Linked DNA regions of Rattus norvegicus. The protein of the gene in region 1 binds, or shares a complex with, the protein of each later gene. Links are inferred from orthologs where the notes say so. Each region holds a gene or a part of one and is shown in the gene's direction. Other genes may lie near its edges.

The links.
Region 2: the proteins of Timp1 (region 1) and Mmp3 are in contact, whole or in part, in a crystal structure (PDB 1UEA), measured with the Homo sapiens proteins. The link is inferred for Rattus norvegicus from reciprocal best matches to the Homo sapiens genes TIMP1 and MMP3. Residues at the interface, in NP_003245.1 of Homo sapiens: Cys24, Thr25, Cys26, Val27, Pro28, Pro29, Val52, Thr56, Leu57, Tyr58, Pro87, Ala88, Met89, Glu90, Ser91, Val92, Cys93, Thr121, Cys122, Leu156, Ser157, Pro159, Gln173, Leu174, Gly177, Glu179; in NP_002413.1 of Homo sapiens: Phe100, Thr102, Phe103, Phe171, Tyr172, Gly178, Asn179, Val180, Leu181, Ala182, His183, Ala184, Tyr185, Ala186, Thr207, Thr208, Gly209, Thr210, Val215, His218, Glu219, His222, Phe227, His228, Tyr237, Pro238, Leu239, Tyr240, His241, Ser242.
Region 3: the proteins of Timp1 (region 1) and Mmp10 are in contact, whole or in part, in a crystal structure (PDB 3V96), measured with the Homo sapiens proteins. The link is inferred for Rattus norvegicus from reciprocal best matches to the Homo sapiens genes TIMP1 and MMP10. Residues at the interface, in NP_003245.1 of Homo sapiens: Cys24, Thr25, Cys26, Val27, Pro28, Asn37, Leu57, Tyr58, Pro87, Met89, Glu90, Ser91, Val92, Cys93, Arg98, Thr121, Cys122, Cys155, Leu156, Ser157, Ile158, Gln173, Leu174, Gly177, Ser178, Glu179, Lys180; in NP_002416.1 of Homo sapiens: Phe170, Tyr171, Gly177, His178, Ser179, Leu180, Ala181, His182, Ala183, Tyr184, Pro185, Tyr191, Asp205, Ala206, Ser207, Gly208, Val214, His217, Glu218, His221, Phe226, His227, Thr231, Tyr236, Pro237, Leu238, Tyr239, Asn240, Phe242, Thr243.

The regions. Positions count from the first base shown.
Region 1 is NC_086039.1:3,768,262-3,772,711, reverse strand, and holds the start of Timp1 (metalloproteinase inhibitor 1 precursor), read left to right. Parts: upstream 1-1,589; 5' UTR 1,590-1,613; intron 1,614-1,963; exon of another isoform or gene 1,964-2,005; intron 2,006-2,352; 5' UTR 2,353-2,363; coding exon 2,364-2,484; intron 2,485-4,273; coding exon 4,274-4,353; intron 4,354-4,450. UniProt on the Homo sapiens protein: Metalloproteinase inhibitor that functions by forming one to one complexes with target metalloproteinases, such as collagenases, and irreversibly inactivates them by binding to their catalytic zinc cofactor.
Region 2 is NC_086026.1:12,928,254-12,931,903, forward strand, and holds part of Mmp3 (stromelysin-1 preproprotein), read left to right. Parts: intron 1-424; coding exon 425-589; intron 590-742; coding exon 743-887; intron 888-3,650. UniProt on the Homo sapiens protein: Metalloproteinase with a rather broad substrate specificity that can degrade fibronectin, laminin, gelatins of type I, III, IV, and V; collagens III, IV, X, and IX, and cartilage proteoglycans.
Region 3 is NC_086026.1:12,977,677-12,980,529, forward strand, and holds part of Mmp10 (stromelysin-2 precursor), read left to right. Parts: coding exon 1-155; intron 156-700; coding exon 701-842; intron 843-1,641; coding exon 1,642-1,775; intron 1,776-2,447; coding exon 2,448-2,607; intron 2,608-2,853. UniProt on the Homo sapiens protein: Can degrade fibronectin, gelatins of type I, III, IV, and V; weakly collagens III, IV, and V. Activates procollagenase.

The DNA.
Region 1 (4,450 bases):
TGCCTGGTGGCATGGTAAGTTTGAGCCTCAGAACCCATAGGGAAGGAGGACTGTCCCCTGAAAGTTGTCCTCTAAACAATACAGGCATGCCATGGCATAAGTACAGGTACACACACACACACACACACACACACACACACACACACACACACACACAATGTAAAATACAAACCCTTTAAAAGAGTGTATTGTACACAGTGAATACTCTGTTGAGTGCTGGCAGGAGGTTTTTGTGTCCTGTGGTTATTGGACTAAGCTACCTAAGTTAATAAAATGTAATTAGCTAAAGTAAATTGTACATAAAGACCTTGGCAATGATATACAGTAAGTACTCAATAAGTAGCTGTGATCATCACTACCACATTCTCTCTGTCTCTGTCTCTCTCTGTCACAGGTTCTTCCTATGTATCTCTGGCTGTCCTGGAACTCACTGTATAGACTAGATACCCTCTAATTTTCTGGATCAGCTTGCCCCCTGGGATTAAAACCATTGTCATTACTATTGGTCTGTCCTCCCTATCTTAATTGAGGGTGGTAATCAGCCCATAGAATCCTTCTACAGGACCCCAGGGAATATTCCTGCATCATCAGAAAGCTGGTGGGCAGCAGTTGCCTCATTCCCACTCCCACCAGGGGTGTGGACTGGTTGGTGGGGGAAGGGGAAGACTGGATGGAGTAGGGATGGTGGTTTTTCTACTGACTCACTAGCTTTTACCATCATTCACCCCCTCCCTCCCCCCATCCCCTTGCAACGCTCACCACACCATTCCCTGCTTGTCAAAGATTGTACCCTGCTTGAGTTAGTATTCCAGGTCAGGAAGCCTAGGTTTAAATCTTTATTGTCCTGTGACCCTAACAAAGTTCTTCACTTCAGCTATTTGCCTGTTTGGTCTTGTTTCTGTTTAAGACCTTAAGGGTCTCTTGTAGCCAAGGATATCTTCAAACATCTTCACTGGTATGTGCAGCCACTGCAAAGTTTGGGGAAGAAGTCACTACCTGGGCTCTGTCTGTATGCAGCCTCAGTTCCCTCCCAGTTCTGCCACACTCAACTGCCATCCTGGATAAGTCATAGACACTCTCAGTGTTATCAATTTCCCCACTATGTATTTGTGCCCCTTCTCCCATGTCATGTCCCTCAACTGTTTTTCTAGTTTGTCTCTCCTCTGCCACCCCTCACCAGAATTTCAGATCCACAGGAAAGGCCTTCTTGTGAGATTGTTACATAGTAGATGAAAGGCGTGGGAAAGAAATTATTGGCTTCAGCCATAGGAAGTTTGGGGAATGTGGGAAACCGGAGAGGCACAAGGCTTCAGGGGCTTAAGCGGTCTTTATTCTTCCCTTCTTCCCTTCAAGGCCGCCAGGAAGGAATGTGCATGACGGAGCTGGGGGAAGGGGGCGCAGTGGGCTGGCTGGCAGAAGAGGGAGTACTTTGGGCTCAGCCTGGGGCCCGCCCCTAGGCTTTGACTTCAGCAGTGGGTGGATGAGTAATGCGTCCAGGAAGCCTGGAGGCAGTGATTTCCGCGCCAACCCCACCCCTCGCATGGACATTTATTCTCCACCGCCAGTCCCTGCCTCCATCACTGCTGATCCGGACTCCTAGAGACACGCTAGAGGTAAGTGGGAGCCGGGTGTCCTGGCAGAACTGGGGTTTGCTTGGAGCCTGTGTTGGTGCGGCCACGAGGCCCATCCAGTCCCTTGCCAGACTAACCATTCAACTTGGCTTGCAGGTATCAGGATCTCTAGTTAGCCAAGGGGGAATATAAAGGGAGAGCGTCCTGAATGATTGTCCCCAGCGGGACTCTCCAGACTCTTTCATGCTCTTAGCATTCATCTCAAAGTGCCCCAAACCCACAAGCCTTTAATGCCTTTAAAACTTCCTAACTTGCTAATTCCCCCAAATTTCTTCATTGTCCCTCAATCTTTACGGCTCCTGTAACACCCCTGTTCTCTTTGCCATGTCTAGCTCCTGGAACTTCAAAAATTCCTCTGCCTTCAAATTCCTGAGGTATTCCTATTACTGTAAACCTCCAAATTCCCCAAGACCCTTAACCCCCCATTTTCCCCAGCTCCCTAAAACCACAAACCTATTCTAAATCCCCCAATATCTCTGAACTTCCCAGCCCATTATATTTTAATAGCCCTAACTCCCCATTATACTTCTCCAGTTTCCCAAACTCCAAATTCATCACTACACAAATGTCAGATTTCCCCAATTCTGTTAAATTCTCAAAGTTCTCAGCTCCCTTATTCACCAACTGTGTTCTCTAACCTAAAGAGTTCCTGAGTCTCCCTAGAGCCAACGGCCATGTAAGCCATTGGTTTGGGAACCTACTAACACCTAGTCTTTACCAGCAGATACCACGATGGCGCCCTTTGCATCTCTGGCCTCTGGCATCCTCTTGTTGCTATCATTGATAGCTTCCAGTAAAGCCTGTAGCTGTGCCCCAACCCACCCACAGACAGCTTTCTGCAACTCGGACCTGGGTGAGTCTGTCCCTCTTTCTGTCTGTCTTAGTCTAGTAGGGATCATTACAGTAGTTGTCCCTAGGACAGTTCTACTTACCCTTCCGTACATCTGCTTTTGCCACACTGACATCCTTGGGCTTAAGCCCACCTTTGTGCTGGCTGCTCCCAGTACCATGTACATGCTTTTCTGTAGTTATCCACATGCATGGCTTTCTCAAAAGTCACCTTACTGAGGTGCCTGCCAACTTTCTTTAATTTTAATACCAGCCACATAGTACTTCTGATCCCTTGTTAGGACACAGAAAGGCAGACTTCATTTAGAACTATGATAATCAGAATTTACAGAGAGAGAGAGAGAGAAAGAGAGAGATTGATTTTAGATAGATATTGATATTGGGCTTAACTTTCAACATTGCATAGGCAAATGGAACTCTATGGCCAAAGAACAATTTAATGTTGATGAATGGGAAATCACTGAAAAGAAATATCAAAGGTGGGCTGGAGAGATGGCTCAGTGGTTAAGAGCACCAACTACTCTTCCAGAGGTCCTGAGTTCAAATCCTACCAACCATCTATAATGGGATCTGATGCCCTCTTCTGGTATGTCTGAAGACAGCACAGTGTACTCATATACATAAAATAAATCTTAAACAAAAAGAAATATCAAAGGCAAGAGGATTCAGGCTAAGTCCATTAAAAAGATTTATTTTATTTATGTGTATGTTTGTGTGTGTTCCATGTGTGGTGTATGGGTGCCTGTGGAGTTCCCAAGGCATCAGATCTCTTGGAGCTGGAGTTATGGATGGTTGTTAGCTACCCTATGTAGATTCTAGGAACCAAACTTGGGAACTCAAAGAGCAGCAAGTACTCTTAACCATTAAGCCATCTCTATAGACTTTAAGCTCACTCTGTTTTTGAGACTAGGTCTCACTATATAACTCAGGCTGGTCTTGAAGCCCTGATTCTTCTCACTCAGCCTTCCAAGTGCTGAGATTGTTAGGTCTGTGCCACCACACCTAGTTTAGGACTCTTGAGGAAAACTTGTCTGGTGGTCCCATCACATACTGTGGAGAATAAGATGAGGGTTGGTGTTTTCACTAAGCTAATTTAAGGTACTTCCCTACAACTGTATTTGAAAGAGAAACTTCACTAATGAGCTTGGAAGAAGGTTAATGAGCCTGAATAAATTGTGGTCAAGCAAAGAATATCTGTCAACTTCCTCTCTAATTTCCCAACACACTTAATAGCTTCTAACAATCCACATACCTTTTCTCCCTCCTCCATACTGGGGATTGAACCTAGGACCTAGGCAAACACCGCACAATTGAGCTACAAACCCAACCCTTTTCTTGTGAATTTTTATTTTTAAACAAGTTCTCGCTAAATTGTCTAGACTGGTCTTGAACTCATACTAAAGCGATCCTCCATCAAGCTCTGACAGAACTGGGGTTACAGGCCTGTGCCACCATTTCTGGCTACATAATGTTAGTCTGTTTCCTCCTGACTTGAATGTGAGCTTCATAAGGAAATAGATTCCTGTGTTTGGGTCATTGTCCTTTCCCTAAGACCCTGAACAGTGGTTGGCATACATCAGGCACTCCAAAACATTTGTTGAGTAAGCCAACAAATGGATATATGAAAAGGGCTTAAAACAGTGCTTAAAAGAATAGACAATATTTAGATGAATCAACTGATGTGGAAGCCATCAAGTGTGCTGTCTATTTGAACTATGTTGTATATGTTTTGCTGCTATGGGTTCATGCTGCCTGCCCATTTGAATCCTTATTTTCCCCTTCTTTTCCTCTAGTTATAAGGGCTAAATTCATGGGTTCCCCAGAAATCATCGAGACCACCTTATACCAGCGTTATGAGATCAAGATGACTAAGGTATTTCTACTCCCTCCCCTCATAGCAGTTACCTAACCTCTTCCTCCCACTCAAAATAGAAGCAACTAGCCTTTCGTTGGTGTGGATGTTTTCTGTA
Region 2 (3,650 bases), on another chromosome or scaffold:
TTGAGATGAATACCCTGTGATTAGTTGACTGGTACTGAAATTGTCAAGTGCTAACTACATACTGGAGCAGTGTTAAGTTTTTCATAGACAATGGAAAAGAAAGTGCTCTAACATGCTAAACAATAAGTAATAGTCTTCATTCCATTTCTGACAATAAGCCAGAACAGGTATTCAGACTTTCTTGAAGCCAAAGAGAACTGTTGGCTGTGTCTGCATACTTTAGACTCATCTCAAGCATGAGTTGTTAAATACACTTGCTCCTCTGCTGCGTGTGTGGTCAGTCTACTGCTCAATGAAGCAGCAAACAAGGTGAGTAAGAACCTGTGCATTTCCAGGAAGTAAACAAATGGTATGCTCAGCTGGCCTAGATGATATACATGTAGGCAAGAAATAAGAAACTTATTATGTATGATTTCTTCAACAGGTACCAACCTATTCCTGGTTGCTGCTCATGAACTTGGCCACTCCCTGGGTCTCTTTCACTCAGCCAATGCTGAAGCTTTGATGTACCCAGTCTACAAGTCCTCCACAGACCTGGCCCGTTTCCATCTCTCTCAAGATGATGTAGATGGTATTCAATCCCTCTATGGTGAGAGAAACTGGAAAAAGGAGTCCTTGTGACTTTGCCCATATGAGTATCTGTGGTTGAATTCATAGTACTTGAGGGCTTTTGGGAAGCATGGAGTTGACAGGCAGGTCACGTTTTTTTCTAACGTTGCTTCTTTAAATCTGTTCCCTTTAGGACCTCCCACAGAATCCCCTGATGTCCTCGTGGTACCCACCAAATCTAACTCTCTGGACCCTGAGACCTTACCAATGTGTAGCTCTGCTTTGTCCTTCGATGCAGTCAGCACCCTGCGGGGAGAAGTCTTGTTCTTTAAAGACAGGTCAGACCAAAGAGCCATGCATCACTATCTAGTTTTGATGAAAAAAATTTTAGAAAGTTACAACAATCAGGAAATTGATAAATATATTTCAACCTTTTTTAAAACAAATTCTGGAGCTTGGCATCTTTGGTATCTGGTATTAGCTTCCCAGTGTGTTCCTAAAATGGGCAAGTTCTTTTTTTTTTTTTTTTTGAGGACCAGTATCATAATTTAATTCCTCTCTGTACATGAACAGTAAATATTCTGAGAGGCTGGGTCTTTCTAAGAAGCCCAGAATGGCCTAGAAATTGTCAGCTGGTACCTCTTCCCAAAACTTCCCACACCCTACTTCAAGACCTCTTGTGCATTCTTCTAGGTTTTCTTAAGTATACAGGAAAATATTTATTTTTATTGGATATTTTTTTTACATTTCAAATGTTATTCCCTATCCCTGTTTCCTGGCCATAAACCCCTTATCCCATCCCCCTCTCTGTTTTTGTATGAGTGTTCCCCCCTCCCAAACGACCCCCCCTTCCCACCACCCTGCCCTGACATTCCCCTACACTGGGTGGGGGGTCCAGCCTTGGCAGGAGCAAGGGCTTCTCCTCACACTGGTGCCCAACAAGGCCATCCTCTGCTACATATGCAGCTGGAGCCATGGGTATGTCCATGTGTACTCTTTGGGTAGTGGTTTAGTCCCTTGGAGCTCTGGTTAGTTGATATTGTTCCTTTGGGGTTGCAAGCCCCTTCAGCTCCTTCAATCCTTTCTCTACCTCCTGCAATGGGGACCCTGTTCTCAGTTCAATGGTTTGTTGCTAGCATTCACCTCTGTATTTGTCATGCTCTGGCAGAGCCTCTCAGGAGACAGCCATATCAGGCTCATGTCAGCATGTACTTCTTGGATTCATCAATATTGTTTAGTTTTGATGACTGTCTATATATGAGCTGGATCCCCAGGTGGGGCAGGCTCTGAATGGCCATTCCTTCAGTCTCTGCTCCAAACATTGTTTCCATATCTCCTCCTATGAATATTTTTGTTCCCCCTTTTAAGAAGAACTGAAGCATCCGCACTTTGATCATACTTCTTCTTGAGCTTCATGTGGTCTGTGAATTATTTTTTAAGTATTGCAAGTTTTTTGGACTAATATCCACTTATCAGTGAGTGCATACCATGTGTATTCTTTTGTGACTGGGTTACCTAACTCAGGATGGTATTTTTTAGATCCATCCATTTGCCTTAGAATTTCATGTAGTCATTGCTTTTTTAATAGCTGCTTAACAAATTGTGTAGCTGTACCACAATTTCTATATCCATTCCTCTGTTGAGGGACATCTGGGCTCTTTCCAGCTTCTTGTTATTATAAGTAAGGCTGCTATGAACATAGTGGAACATGTATTCTTGCTATAAGTTGGAGCATCTTTTGAGTAGATGCCCAGCAGTGGTATAGCTGGGTCCACAGGTAGTACTATGTCCAATTTTCTGAGGAACCACAAGATTGATTTCCAGAATGGTTGTACCAACTTGCAATCCCACCAAAAATGGAGGAATTTTCCTCTTTCTCCACATCCTTGCCAGGATCTACTGTCACATGAGTTTTGATCTTAGCCATTCTGACTGATGTGAGGTGGTATCTCAGGATTGTTTTGATTTTCAGTTCCTTAATGACTAAAGATGTTGAACATTTCTTTATGTACATCTCAGCCTTTCAATATTCCTCAGCTGAGAATTCTTTGTTTAGCTCTGTACCCCATTTTTAATCAGGTTATTTGGCTCTCTGGAGTCTCACTTCTCAAGTTCTTTGTATATTTTGGATATTAGCCCTCTGTCAGGTGTAAGATTGGTAAAGATCTTTTCCCAAGCTGTTGGTTGCCATTTTGTCCTAATGACAATATCCTTTGCCTTACAGAAGCTTGACAGTTTTATGAGGTCCCATTTGTCGTTTCTTGATCTTAGAACATAAACCATTGTTGTTTTGTTCAGGAACTTTTCCCCACTGCCCATGTGTTCAAGGTTCTTTCCCCCTTTTTCTTCTATTAGTATCAGTGTACATGGTTTTAGCTTGATCCATCCACTTGGACTTAAGCTTTGTACAGGGCAATAAGAATGGATTGATTTGCATTCTTCTACAGGTTGACCTCCAGTTAAACCAACAGCATATGTTGAAAATGCTATCTTTTATCCACTGGATGGTGTTAGCTCTTTTGTCAAAGATCAAGTGACCATAGGTTTTTGGGTTCATTTCTGGGTCTCTAATTCTATTTCATTGATCTATCTGCCTGTCTCTGTAACAAGAACATACAGTTTTTATCACTATTGATCTGTAATACACCTTGAAGTCAGGGATGGTGATTCCCACAGAAGTTCTTTCATTGTTGAGGATAGTTTTCACTATCTTGGGCTTTTGTCATTTCAAATGAATTTGCAAATTGTTCTTTCTAACTCTATGAAAAATTGAATTGGAAATTTGATGGTAATTTCTCTGAATCTGTAGATTGCTTTTGGCAAAATGGCCATTTTTGCTATATTAATTCTGCCAATACATGAGCATGGGAAGTCTTTACATCTTCTGAGATCTTCTTCGATTTCTTTCTTCAGAGACTTGTAGTTCTTGTCATACAGATCTTTCACTTGCTTGGTTAGAGTCACTCCGAGGTATTTTTTGTTATTTGTGACTATTATGAAGGTTGTCATTTCTCTAATTTCTTTCTCAGCCTGTTTATCCTTTGAGTAGAGGAAGTCTACTGATTTGTTTGAGTTACTTTTATATCCAGCCACTTTATTGA
Region 3 (2,853 bases), on another chromosome or scaffold:
ATTCCTGGTTGCTGCGCATGAACTTGGTCACTCCCTGGGTCTCTTTCACTCAAACAACAAAGAATCTCTGATGTACCCAGTCTACAGGTTCTCCACGAGCCAAGCCAACATTCGCCTTTCTCAGGATGATATAGAGGGCATTCAATCCCTGTATGGTGAGCATGAAGAAAAAGAGGCCTGGGGTGGGCTTGCTTTAGTCAGTGCTCTTTAAGAATGTGATTCAGTAAGTCTCAGGAAAGCTTTGTTTTTATTTGTGTGTGTGTGTGTGTGTGTGTGTGTGTGTGTGTGTGTGTGTGTGTGTGGTGTGTGTGCGTGTGTGTGGTGTGTGTGTGTGTGTGTGAGAGAGAGAGAGAGAGAGAGAGAGAGAGAGAGAGAGAGAAAGAGAAAGAGGGAGAGAGAGCAAGCGCTATGCATGCCTGTGTGTGTATACTATGGCATACATGTGAAGGTCAACCTGTGGGAGTGGGTTATCTCCTTTGATCATATGTGTCCTGTGTGGTGATGACATGAGACATCCCAAGTTGTCAGGCCTCCAGCAGGTTCCTTTACTACCAGCTGAGCCTTCTCTCTGGCCCCAGGATCAAATATCTACACACTGCTTCATCTCAAAACACCATGAAGAAGTTTGGATAGTTTGTAAATTGTTTCATGCTTCCCTGACCTACTAATACTTGCTTTTTCTAAACTTCTCTCCCTTCAGGAGCCCGCCCCTCCTCTGATGCCACAGTGGTTCCTGTGCCCTCTGTCTCTCCAAAACCTGAGACCCCAGTCAAATGTGATCCTGCTTTGTCCTTTGATGCAGTCACCATGCTGAGAGGGGAATTCCTATTCTTTAAAGACAGGTTAGACAAAAACATTTTCCTAGCTACTCTCCTGGTATTCAATGCTCAAAAAGAAAAATAAACTTGAAATTAGATATAATGAATGTATAGAATAAATGTAATATAATAAACAATACATTTCAGGCGTGTTTCAAAATCATTCAGCTCTGGTTTAAAGAGTATTTTTAAAGACCCCCTTGGCATTGTCCAGAATATTTTTTTAGACTCCCAGAAGATGATTATTTTTGGAAAGTAGAATGTAAGATCCATACAATCAGGGAAGTCTGTCCCTTATTTTTATTTTTCATTTCTTATATATCATAACTCATAGAACTTCTAAAAGCACCAGCCATCTTTAGAACCAGACAAGTATCTTTATTCTTGTTAGGAAGTGCTATTATTTCAATTAATTCATTTTAGAAAATATGATTCATGTGCATGCAGAATTCTCAAGTAGTATCAAAAGATGTAAGAACAATCCCTTCCATTTGTGCTGTCCCTGAGCCCTACCTATGTGTACCTCCTGCCACCAATTTTTTTGTACTGACTTCCAAGGTCCTCACATTTTAAAAGATAAATGTCATTTTAAAATTCTTAAAATATATAATATTTTACATACTCTTGAGTGGAATCGAGCTGAGGAATTTTATTGGAACAGGGTGAATGTTCCTGTTAACCTGGGCTGTATCCACTGCCTGGAATCTCATGTAGAACTCCAGCGCACACTGCTGCTGCAGATGAAGCAGCATCAAGCAGAAGGCTGTTCCCCAGGCTTAGTGTTTTTAAAGAGAAAGACTATTGTGGTTTTCATATATTACAGGCACTTCTGGCGTAGAACCCAGTGGAATCCCGAGCCTGAATTCCATTTGATTTCAGCATTTTGGCCCTCTCTTCCTTCAGGCTTAGATGCTGCCTATGAGGCAAATAACAAGGACAGAGTTCTGATTTTTAAAGGTAAGAACTGTACAAAAGTTTGTTGAAAGAAATCTTATTACAACGCCTTTGCACTATGAAGTCTCTTCATTGTATTAAATTTGAGATGTTTTATTGGAATGAGAACAGATCAAAATTGGTGATTGTGAACGAGCATTTTAAACAAATCTGAGCTTCAACAAGTTTGCCTTATAAGGTGAATCTTTTAAGGGAAGTCTTAGAAGTGTAGACTAAGTGGTCATTATAAGAAATGGTTATGATAACTCATAGGGAATAAGTAATTGATATAAATACAGAGTAAATACATAAAAATGAACTCAGAAAAGACAGTGAACATGTTCATCTATTTTTTCATTTACTATTTACTCATTCAGAAAGTATCATTTTTAAGGCAAGGTCTTAGTATGTACCCCCAGATGATCTCAAACTCACTTACTGTGTAGGTAAGGCTGGCCTCAAACCCCTAGAAATCCACCTGCCTCTGACTCCCCAGTGTCAGGCTTAAAGGTCTGTGCCAACATACTCAACCAGGAACTATTGTTTTAAATACCTGCGATGTCCTAAGCACAGAGTTGGCAGTTATGAAAAAACAAGACTTTGGCTTTCATCTTTATCGCAACAATTCACTATTCTCATTTCTAAAACCAATTAGCTTCATTTGAACAAATTTTCTTGGGTGTGGTTATTCAACAGGAAGTCAGTTCTGGGCAGTCCGAGGAAATGAAGTCCAAGCAGGTTACCCAAAGAGGATCCACACTCTTGGCTTTCCTCCCACCGTGAAGAAGATTGATGCAGCTGTTTTTGAAAAGGAGAAGAAGAAGACGTATTTCTTTGTAGGTGACAAATACTGGAGGTGAGTTACATTGGGCAACTCTGCTTAGAGCACAATTCCGGAGGTTAGTTCTCTCTTTTGAAGGATTCCTGCATGCCCTCTAATGTTCCCAAAATTCAAATTTTCTGATTAAGTAAAAGACAATGATTCAACTTGACAAACAGGGCTTTTCCAGTGTGCATCACTGGCCATGAGGAATAGTGAACTGGAGGGCCACAGGCATACTGCCTTCCCCTGCCACTGTCCCTCATCTTAAGGCTGCTCTCA